3 linked regions of the Caenorhabditis elegans genome follow. The protein of the gene in region 2 interacts with the protein of the main gene of each other region in a biochemical or structural test. Each region holds a gene or a part of one and is shown on either strand. Other genes may lie near its edges.

Region 1 (3,753 bases), on a different chromosome or scaffold from region 2:
TTTTATTGATTGGCTGTAGAATTATTGCGACTGGATTTCGTGAGCGTCGAAATGAAGAGTGGAACTTCAATGTCTTCGCGTTGCTTCATTTCCTTAATCCACGGATGAGCCATGATGTCAACAAGTGGGAGACGTTCTTGGGGTTCCTTTTTGATTATTGCATTTATCAAACTGGCAGCTCCGTCAGTCACAACACTTGGAATCTGCAAAAAAGAAGCAATTTAGATGAAACTACTTGGGAAACAAAATGGAAATGAATGTTTGAGAACTGTCCCGAGGAGAAAAGGAACCATATTGCATTAAAAGCAAACCGGCACACGCATCTCGAGCTAGACTTCTATTGCAGTTCTTTGAAGCTTCTCACAGATGAAACCGTGAGAGGCAGGAGATATATGACATGAAAAGATGAAATGGTTACCCAAACCATCACTTCATGCACATATTTCTGTTGGAGAACTGCTTATTAAGATTCTAACAAATTTAGTTCATAATTACTAACATAAATCTTGCACTCCTTGATTCTGGCGATCAATTTATCACCAGTTTGATTGGCGAACGGAGCATATCCAACAAGCATTTCGAAGAGAAGAATTCCAATTGCCCAAATGTCAACATTAAAGTCATGTGGCTGATTGGAAACCATTTCCGGAGCAAGATAATCCATGGTACCGCACAATGTATGGCGTTTCGAGTGATCAGCAACGACGGACCATCCGAAATCGGCAAGCTGAAATACAAGTCTTATTTTTTAGAAAGAATGCATAAAATGTGTTGAATTTAATTTTTACGGTAATTGTCCCGAGGAGAAAAGGAACCAGATCGCATTAAAAGCAGAACGGCACACGCATCTCGAGCTAAGCTTTTATTGCAATGTTACTGTGTGATCAGAGTATAAACTCTTTTTCAGCTAGTGACTTCTTTCGGCTCGGAGAACCAAAGGATGCACTGAGAACATTGCAGAAGACTTTTTGAGTACTTAGTTAACCATATTTATACGCGTACCTTCAGATTGAGCTTCGAATCAAGAAGAAGATTTTCAGGCTTAATGTCTCTGTGAATAACTCCTTTCGAATGGCAGTAATGCAACGCATTGGCCAGCTGTCGCACAAATCTGAGGAAATTTACTATATTTCTGAAATATCTACAAAATCACACCTTCCGGCAATGACCTCATTCACTTTGTGTCCAGGTTGTGATTGGAGGACATTAAATAATTCTCCTCTGCTGGCATAGTCGAGAATGACGAACACACGCTTGTCATCGTGAAAGTATCCATAAAGAGTGAGAATATTCGGATGACTGAAATAATATTGATTAATTGATTTGGATGAGATGACTTCGAGAAAACATACCGCAAATGATATTGAATTTCGATCTCTCTCTTCAACTGATGACTGACTCCAAGTTGAAGCAACTGTGTTTTGAAGAGTACTTTCAAAGCTATGATTCGCTTGGTCTTTTTTTCACGAGAGATGAAAACGTTTCCAAACTTTCCTTTTCCGAGAGGCCGTCCAACGTCAAAATCATCAAGACTCCAGCTAAAGTCCATTACATTGTAAAAGTAATAAATCAATTATTCTCACCATGATTCTTCCCTTGCCTGGTCAACTCTCTGAGGTCTGCTATCTTCCGTAAGTGAAATAACCTGAAGATTAGAATTGATGCCTTTCTAATTTTAATAACAATTACCTCGGCCTTCTGATCGTCTATCACAGGAGCAGTATTTTCCTTTCCGCTCATGATTAATGTAATTCTGCGAGTTGAAATATTATAATAAAATTGAGGAATAAAAAATTTAATGAGAAAGGAAAAAGAAAATCGCGACTAATTCAAGAACACGTCAAAAATTAGAACAAAGGCAGTCACTTTGAATGAATTTTGCTTGGCGGGTTGTTGAGCGGCATTGCTAAACAACACGCGCTCTGTTATTTCGGAGTGTCGTTGCTGACACGTTGCGAATAAATCAATTCTGCATTTTCTATTCCACTGAGTTCTGCGATTTTTTTCGCAGAATTCGGTGAATTTGAATCAATAAAATGTCAGTAATCGATAAAACTTCATCAGCAGTCAATCCTTTACGAGAAAAAGTGACTACTGCATGTGCAAAGAAGCTGTATAATGACAAGGTCAGCTAAAATATTAATTACAAACGAAACTTATGGCATTTCTTACAGGATTGCATCAAAATTGCTGATTTCATCACTCCACTGGTCGAAGATATGAACCTTGATTCAAATGTTGATAGGAAACTACACAATAAACTAGAACGATACGAGTTGAGACTAAACAAGGAATATTTGAGCGAGTTCGAAAAAGTTAGAATAAACCTGAAATCATTTCATTTTAAATCTGCTATTTCAGATAAATAACATTGTGCAAAAATTCGATGAGCTCTGTGTAAAAATGAACTCCACATGCACGAATTTATCAAAGCAAATGGAGACTGTAAAGTTCAAAAGTGTTGATTTGGTGCAGAAAACAGCAAGCTTGAAGGAGAAGAAAGCGAGTATAGAAAGCCGTTGTAATATGATAAATGAATTTCTCGAAAACTATTCTTTATCAAGTGAAGAGCTTCGAGAATTAGACGAATGTGAACAAAGTGGTCATCTATCGGAATTTTTCTTCAAAGTTCTTGAGAGGTGCCACGAAATTCGCGAGAACTGCAGAAATATGGTTCAGGAGCAAGGACATCTTGCCGCTTTTGAAGTGATGGAAAAAATGCAAAAAATTGACGAAAGAAGCCATGCAATTATCTGTAACAATCTGAAACGCGAATTTCAAAATCTGACAGTTGATTCTCATCAGAAAAAGCAAATTCTTTCTAAAGCTTTCAAAATCATAAGTCAGAATGATGCTGTATTCCAGCTTGCCATTGGTACGTTTAGTTCTTCAAATCTACTCACCATTAACCTAGTTTTCAGACCAATACATTTCATCTCGCTCACAAGAATTGCTCAATCAGTTTGTTGAAATTAACAAAATGGCTGTCCAAATGCCTGAAGGGTTGGCAGAACCACTGAAGGCAGTTGGAGATATGCTGACTTCGATTCACGAGCTCACGGAGCAAGAAAAACAGTTGTTCAGCTCAATTTGTTCCGCAGAAAATCTTCCGATCGTTCTTGATGAATGCCTGAAATCTTTGACTTCGCCGTTCAAGGTAAAAAGTTTAAATTATTGGACTATAATATATGATAATAGTTTACAGATTAGGGTAGAGCAACTGCTGTCGACAGAAAAAAATGCCATCACAATTTTCAAAATGGGAAATATTTTAATTTTCTATGCAAACAAGTTCGAGACTTTGATTCGAAAAGATAGTTATTTTACAATAATGCTCGCAGATCTCGTCAAAACAGTTCGTCAAGTATGTATTGCCGGTATAAATCATCACGTGGACGGACTTATGAGAAAGATGACATCACCACACTATGATCTCCTTCCAGTCCCAGAAGTTCGGCAATGCCTTTCACTTTATCACGGGCTTATTTCAATTGCTGTAAAAACAGGAGATTTGAATCTTCTTCTTGAACCAGAAAGGATCTACGAATATGTCTTGGAACCACTTATTCAGACGGTTCAACTCAGTGCAACTCGTCTGAAATCTGATATTGAAGTTTCTGTGTTCACAATTAACTGCTTAACAGTCATTAGAAGTGCAATCTCGGAAATATCGGCGTTCAAGAAGAAGATTGAAATGATTGACGCGATGATCGAAGGAAATTCAGACGTATTGGTGTCAGTTCAAGTATCGGA
Region 2 (3,753 bases):
GCGGCCTTCACAGCCTCCTTTTTCCGTACAATATTCGCCAGTGATGCAGGAGTTCCAGCAGCTGCTCCTGGAGCCGATGATGACGTGGCATTCTCTTCGGCGCCATAAGTGAACGTGGTTACTGTACCATCACGATGTGATAGATTTATGTATCGGGGACCGTCTGGAGATGGAATATAACTGACATTTTTCGTCCAATACTCGTTGAGCACCTCCTGAATCTTCTCCTCCACCTCGGGAATTCTGAAAAAAATATATAAAAATTTGGATAAATATTAGAAAAAAAAGGCTAATATCGGATTATTTGCCAAATTTTTGGAGGAAAATTTGAATTTTCAAGCAGAAAATTGCCTGAAAATAAAGAATTTCGAGGGTTTTTATTTTTAAAAAATTATGAAAATCTGCTGGAAAATGGGATTTTTTGGCATAAAAAGCCAAATTTCAAGTTGAAAAATATTTTTTAAAGGGTTGTTTAATTGAAAAAAAATTGGGAATTTTAGCCGTTTTCTATGACAACTGAATAAAAACTAACTTTTTGGGGTAAAAATTAATTTTCAGACTCCAAAAACCGAAAATTTTGCTGTAGAAAATGAATTTCAAGCGAAAAATAAGAATAAGGCCCGTTTTTCCGGCCGAAATTGGATTTTCGAAAAAAAATTCAAAACATAGCCGACAGCTTGTGATTTTTCAGAGTTTTAGTATTAAAATGTATTAGAAACTGGCGGAAAATTAGATTTTTTTAATTCAAAAAGGTATGTAAATCAGCTGAAGATTTCAGAATTTTGGCGTTTTTTTTTTGCGTCAAAAAAATCAAATATTCATCTAAAAAGCTTGAAATTTTGCTAAAAAAAATTCCATTTTTCAGGACAAAAACTGATTTTATTGGAAAAAATCGGGATTATTCAGCCAATTTCCTAGAATCTTCGCACAAAGTGCTCAGTTGTTTCCCGTTCCTTACGGTGATCGATAGCTCGCCGCAATTTCATCGTCTGAAATATGCGCGGGCTTCAAAATGGCCAACTGTTCGATGCTCCATTGAAATTTTTCGCTGTCTTTCTGCTGACTACACGATTCTTGCTGGAAAAAACACAAGAATTTCCTCTTAAAAATCGTAAATAATTACAGAAAAAACGACGCGAGGGCTGAAGTTGATGGATTTGTGCAGGGAATTGAGAAGAATCGAGTCCAAGGGGTTTAGGCTGTTGTTGGCTATGAATGATGAAAGTTCTGCAGACATTGAGAGCTTGGGATCGCTGCAAATTGGATTTTTAGGCTTAGAATATAATTTAAAGTCCTAAAAAAGCTCACTTTTGCTGTGGTGTGATACTTTTAGAGTCATATCCGGAAGTTGACGGGTCAGTAGTCTGAAAATCAGGTTTTTAGAGATTTTTCTAATTTTCATTCGTACATTAATGCTTCTTAGCGGAGTTTTGAACCCGCTTCTCGCTTTGTTCGGAAAAATCTTGCTGGGACGCTCTGCGGCGATTGGCGACACCTTCCATTCAGCTGTAAGTTTAAGATATAATTTAAATATTTTATATTAAATTTTTAAAAAAATCGATATTACCGGTTCGCCCATTCTCATCATGCTCTAACGCGGTGCTGTTGAGTTGTCTAGACTCTTCCCCTTCGCAAAACGACGAGACATTGAATTCCATCTAGTTTCTAGTGCTCGAATAGCTGGAAAATTATTTTTTTTAATAATTAATGAAAAAATAAAATAAAATCACGGAAAGTAGCGTTTAATTTAAAGAAAATCACATTAGAAAATATAAAAAAGAAGAAAAAATTGCTTGTCGTAAAATAAAATACATGGTACGCAGCGGTGTTTGCACACAAACACGCACCGTAGTTTGAGCCACCACACCTAACATAACCCTGAGAAATCATAATTACCGGAACAATTATATACACTTATTGTGAAAATACATTTTTAATTGCAACATTTTTAGCATATTTGCAATTTTAGTTTTTTCAGAGTTCTAACTGTAAAAGTTTAATTATTTTTAACGTGAATAGTCATAAAATTAAACGTTTTCCCGAAGAGTTCATGTCTACAAAACACAAAGTTGTGAGGTCTCCTCAAGAAACTCCAAATTTTGTGTTCAAAAAACACACAAATATTTTTTATTTTTCTAATCTATGTTCCCCGAAAAAATGCGATAAACATCTTATCTATTCTCTAACATTTCAGGGTAATCGAACCGCAGTTTATGTGCAAAACGATGGGAAAGTTTTTCTTCTTCGGTTTTGTGTAGGTTTTTTTTCTAAAAAAATTTACAATTATTTCTAATTTTCAAATTTTCAGCGGACTTCTGCTTTCCTGGGGAGCTCTCTACTACCGATACAGTGACGAGAAGAACACTTCGGCGAGAAAATATCGATTTGATCCCCCGCCAGCACTCGTTGGCAACCTATTTATAAATGCGGGTCTGGAAAAGGCCGAGCACATCCTTGACGGAAAAATTGTTGGACCCGAATCTATGGTGGTAGATGATGAGGCGATTTATGTGTCTGTTAATGATGCAAAAGTGCTGAAAATCGTTGACGGCCGGGTTGTGAGCAAGGCTTCATACTCGGAAAAGTCGAAATTCTTCCCAGACTGCGGGCATTTCGATACGGAGCCCGAATGTGGACGGCCTCTTGGAATCCGTCGACTTGTGGCTGGAAAACCGAAATTCGTCGTTTGTGACGCTTATTTGGGAGTCTACATTGTCGATTTTACCGATGAGCAAAATCGTATGTGGAATTTCTGGAATTTCGCTCAAACAAATCCAAGAATTTTACATTTCCAGTTGTTGAAATTTCTGGATATTGTTTTTTACTTCAAATTTAGCTATCAAAAATAGTTTTTCCTGAATTTTTCTATTTTTCATGGAAAATCTCTTTTTCTTGCAAATTTACCACTTTTTCGAATTCCAAATGGCAAAAACTGGGTTATGTTGTTCAAAAAATTTTTTAATTTTCTAGAAAAAACAGAAAATCTTCTCCAATTTTTCCAGCAATCTCCACACAAATCCTGGACTCAAAGGTGCCAATCGATGGTCTAAAACCTCGATTTTTGAACGATTTGGACGTAATTTCAGAGGATGAGCTTATCATTTCGGATAGTTCAACACGTCACGACCGTCGGCATTTTATGGCTGCAATCCTCGAACATCAAGCCGACGGACGCATTTTTCATCTGAAAATCTCGACAAAAAGCGTAAAAGTGTTGGCTGATAAGCTGTATTTTCCCAATGGAATTCAATTAACGGAGGATAAGAAATCTGTGATTTTCGCGGAATGTAGTATGGCGAGAATCAAGAAATTGACGATTGCATCGAAAAAAGTGGAAATGTTCGCGGCCAATTTGCCAGGCCTTCCGGATAATATTCGTAGCAGTGGCCGTGGAACTTATTGGGTTGGACTTACAGGTTCGTTCCTACCTGCCTGCCGAAAGTCGAGAATTAAAAAAATCGAAATTTTGAAAGAAAAATCGGAAAATTTGAATTTCGAATCAAAACATTTTTTTTCTTAAAAAGATGTTTAATTCACCTAAAATTGTTTAAAATTTAAAAAAAATAAAAAATTTTTAACAATTTCAAATTTTCAGCGACTCGCTCAGCAACTCATCCATCTCTTCTCGACCGGCTCGGCAGTCTTCCTGGTAAAAATTTCTTTTTACAAAAAAAATTAGAAATCGTCACGAGACCCAGTTTAATCATTAGGTTTACATAATTATTGATTTTTTCGATTATTTCGGCGAGACCA
Region 3 (3,753 bases), on a different chromosome or scaffold from region 2:
TATATATAGGGATATATCCTACCGGTCCCAATTCTAATTGACGTGCAATTGGAGACCACGAACGATAAGTGAATCCCCAGTAAAGATCATCGAGGAATTCTACAATCGATGGGAAGAAGAAAATTGCAAGAATAATCTTAATAGCTCCAGTTAGATTAGTTTTCGTTACCTTAGCTTACGTGCGAAATGTTAGACAGAGAAATTACGAATATTGGAATCACTGCAGCGATCATTCTTCAGAATGGAAAAATAATAATAATGAATTCTTAATTCCCTATTCTCATTTACACGTTGAACAAAGTGCTTGAATAAAAAAGAGCATGAAAGTAGAGCGAATTTATTTATCGCGGTGTGAAAAAAGAGATTACTCATGAATATCGAAGGGCCAAATAATCATCGTACAGGTAAAAAGTTGAAATGGTGATAGTTAAACAATACACGGAAGACGATAGGTGGTTAAAGCACGGGAGAATAAATAATAAAAATGATGATGAATGAATTACATCAAAAGAGTTCGAGTTCTCCTCGGTAATTTCCAGCTGGCAGCTTTGACGTATCCATGTTGTCAAAATAAGGATGAACGAGAGCTTTTTTCGCGTTGAGACGAAGTGATGGATCGTAGATCAGCAAACCCTGAAAATATTATTTTACTTGTTAAAGTACTATTTTAGAAATCTTACTTCAAGAAGAGAGAATGCAGTATCGTCCAAAAGGTGCTTTCCAGTCTTCTTGTCGTAGAACTTGTCACGGAGGAAATTCTCACGCCATTTTGGGAACGTCGCCTTGTAGTCCGGAAGTGATTCAACACCATTCCATTCCAACTCAGTCGGTGTGCCGAGAACTCTGAAGATGCGGAACAGCTCATCAATTTCTGAATCTCCTTGAAACAGTGGCTTCTTCGTGGCCATTTCAGCAAAAATGCATCCAATCGACCACATGTCTACGCCCATCGAGTATCTCTGAGCACCCATCAGAATTTCTGGAGCTCTATACCAGAGAGTGACAACCTGAAAACCGGACAATCATTGTATTGGTGTACAGAATGAATGCAAACTCACTTCATGCGTGTAAACGCGAATCGGGATACCAATAGCTCTGGCAAGTCCGAAATCGGCAAGCTTGATTGCTCCATTGTTGTCGACCAGCAAGTTCTGTGGCTTAAGATCGCGATGAATAACACGACGCTGATGACAAAAACACATAGCTTGAAGAATCTGGAACAATTATTCTTGTAAAGACATCGATTTTAAATATTTCCTCACTTGGAATGTGTAACTTTTAAGAGTTTCGAGCGGAAGGTATTCATCTTTTCCCAACTGATCCATGTATCGTTTCAAGTCGAAAGACAGGAATTCGAAGATCAGGAAAAGCCGGTTCTCCTGCATAATGACCGCTTCCAATCCAACAACATTCGGATGCTGGAGCTCTTTGAGCAAGCTGATCTCTCGCACAGCCGTTGATGGAACACCCTATAAGAATTATTGTTTGAAAAAACGAAACTGCTACAAAATTCAAATACCTCATCTTCACTTTCCAATCTGATTTTCTTCATAGCAACCATGGCATTGGTTCTTCTGTTTTTGCCTTTGTAGACGACTCCGTATGTTCCTTCGCCGATTTTTTCGAGCTTCGTGAAATCGTTGAGTGTGTAAACCGAATCTCCCTCGTGGGCCACTTCTCCTTCGCGAATAGGATCCATAACTAAAATTGGAAATGAATTTTGTCAGAACAATTGTAATACAACGATAGAAAAGGCGTAAGCGTGTAATTTTGAATCATTTCCACTGCCGCCGAAAAGGGGGGACAGTCGGTGCGAGACCATTGCTTAGTGAAAAGGCATGCACCTTTGATGACAATTTATTCCGAAAAGGAGAGTACGCGCTGAGAAGGATTGTTGTGAAACATTGCATTCATATGATAAAATTTAACGCAAAACTGTGCAGAAAAGAGAATAAATACAGGCCGGAAAATATAAAAATAACTACTCAAAATAATCATAAACTTGATTTGTTCTACTTTATGAGGCTTCCAACAAAACTAAACAGAGTTTCAAAGAAAAATCGTAATCTTGGCTTCGGAGGGTGGATGGCGAGAGTTGCTGCCCCGAAGACCATAGAGAGGTAATTTTTATTATTTAATTTTACATGATGAAAGCGAAATTTGGCAAGTAAGCAACGAATGCATTTTTAGGAAATTATTTATTCAGATAAATCAAAAAATAGAGCAGATTCCTTGAAATCCTAAAAAAGTGAGGACTTCGATTCTGTCTGAAGATGGAAGTTGGCGCCAAATTTTTGGCTGCGTAGCGACTCATTCTTCATTGTGATACGCAGCCAAACAACGTCCTTTCAAAAAAATTCGCGCATTTGATTTTCTCTCGATTTCTATACTTTTCTCAGGTTTGTACAGTGTTTTTCTTGCTAAGATCAATATTTTATTAGAAATGCATCAAATTTCTCAATCAAAACAATTTTTTCCTGCAAACCTTTTTTTCCAAATTTATTTTTTGAATTTCTCGTTGGAAACTAGTTGAAAATGCTAAAATAATTGATAAATCTTTGTTGCAGTATGTCCGAAGATCATCACGACGAGGAGCAATTCGACTCTGCCGAGTCCGGAGCTGCTGCTACTTTCCCGAAGCAATGCTCGGCTCTTCGCAAGAACGAGCACGTCATGATCCGAGGAAGACCATGCAAGGTAAAAAATAATTCAGTGAATTTTCCTAATTAGAAATTTTTTAGATCGTCGAGATGAGCACCTCCAAGACTGGAAAGCACGGACATGCTAAGGTTCACATGGTTGCCATCGATATTTTCACCACCAAGAAGCTTGAGGATATCTGCCCATCCACCCACAACATGGACGTCCCAGTCGTCAAGAGACGCGAGTACATTGTAAGTTGTTAATTAGTTTTTAAGAAGGCTTTCAAAAAAATCAACTTTGGACGGTTAAACAAATCTTTTGAAAAATGAGTTAATCAGCTGTAAAAAATGTTATTGATCAAATTTTCAGCTCATGTCGATCGAAGACGGGTTCTGCTCGCTCATGGATCCAGAATCTTGCGAGCTCAAAGACGATCTCAAAATGCCAGAAGGAGACTTGGGAAACACTATCCGTGAGGCTCTCGAGAAAGACGAAGGAAGCGTCTTGGTAATTATTTCGACATCCACCTTTTGAATCTGAAAATTTTGATTTTCAGGTTCAAGTCGTTGCTGCCTGCGGAGAGGAGGCTATTCTCGGATACAAGATTTCTACCAAGGAATAATTGCATTTATATACAATTTCATAATAAAAGCAGTTCCAGTTTAATCATCCCGCTTTTTATACATCATTCGAAAAACATCGGGCAATGAACAAGTGCACCTCCGCTGGTGTTGTGTAATGTGGGTGTTTTATGTGTCGTGTTGATTGTGATATCTGCTCACCAAACGAAAATGAATTGCTTGCAAACCGCGGAGGTGACATCTGTCCATGGAGTGTTAAATCAGATTCAGTTGTCAGACTTTGTAATCACAGTTCCTAGTTTTTGGAACTACATGGCCTGTGCAGCTTTTCCACCCTTTGTACACTACACCTTATTGCTTATTGAGTTGACCCCAGGTTGGCCGCGTGCCAATAGAGCTGTTCACTTTAAAACGTGTCCTCCTCCGCGACCTGCGAGCACCCCCTTAACCACGATAATATCTAGGTGCAGTATCAAAGACCCACCTTCCTCAAACCTCACTAGCCATCCTTCCTTCATCAATTGGCAAT

The links.
Region 1: of the proteins of spat-1 (region 2) and air-1, one has a biochemical effect on the other in vitro, tested with the Caenorhabditis elegans proteins (one study listed by BioGRID).
Region 3: of the proteins of spat-1 (region 2) and cdk-1, one has a biochemical effect on the other in vitro, tested with the Caenorhabditis elegans proteins (one study listed by BioGRID).

What each region holds. Positions count from the first base shown.
Region 1 is NC_003283.11:8,219,488-8,223,240, reverse strand, and holds the start of air-1 (Aurora kinase), read right to left. Parts: upstream 1,754-3,753; 5' UTR 1,741-1,753; coding exon 1,690-1,740; intron 1,646-1,689; coding exon 1,584-1,645; intron 1,539-1,583; coding exon 1,353-1,538; intron 1,300-1,352; coding exon 1,156-1,299; intron 1,112-1,155; coding exon 1,003-1,111; intron 961-1,002; exon of another isoform or gene 792-960; intron 728-791; coding exon 500-727; intron 463-499; exon of another isoform or gene 268-462; intron 204-267; coding exon 3-203; 3' UTR 1-2. Other genes in the region: cogc-6 (Conserved oligomeric Golgi complex subunit 6), read left to right, coding at 2,037-2,126, 2,175-2,315, 2,362-2,875, 2,922-3,157, 3,206-3,753.
Region 2 is NC_003280.10:14,526,681-14,530,433, reverse strand, and holds the start of spat-1 (Protein aurora borealis), read right to left. Parts: upstream 1,683-3,753; 5' UTR 1,659-1,682; coding exon 1,568-1,658; intron 1,507-1,567; coding exon 1,409-1,506; intron 1,365-1,408; coding exon 1,309-1,364; intron 1,254-1,308; coding exon 1,124-1,253; intron 1,078-1,123; coding exon 959-1,077; intron 244-958; coding exon 1-243. Other genes in the region: F57C2.5 (Strictosidine synthase conserved region domain-containing protein), read left to right, coding at 2,214-2,254, 2,309-2,739, 3,003-3,416, 3,596-3,649.
Region 3 is NC_003281.10:9,745,420-9,749,172, reverse strand, and holds cdk-1 (Cyclin-dependent kinase 1), read right to left. Parts: upstream 1,702-3,753; 5' UTR 1,700-1,701; coding exon 1,520-1,699; intron 1,470-1,519; coding exon 1,263-1,469; intron 1,215-1,262; coding exon 1,059-1,214; intron 1,008-1,058; coding exon 681-1,007; intron 634-680; coding exon 505-633; 3' UTR 321-504; downstream 1-320. Other genes in the region: T05G5.4 (uncharacterized protein), read right to left, coding at 23-136, 180-233; iff-1 (Eukaryotic translation initiation factor 5A-1), read left to right, coding at 2,020-2,120, 2,568-2,697, 2,742-2,894, 3,013-3,150, 3,200-3,265. UniProt on the Caenorhabditis elegans protein: Plays a key role in the control of the eukaryotic cell cycle. Required for entry into S-phase and mitosis. Acts as a component of the kinase complex that phosphorylates the repetitive C-terminus of RNA polymerase II.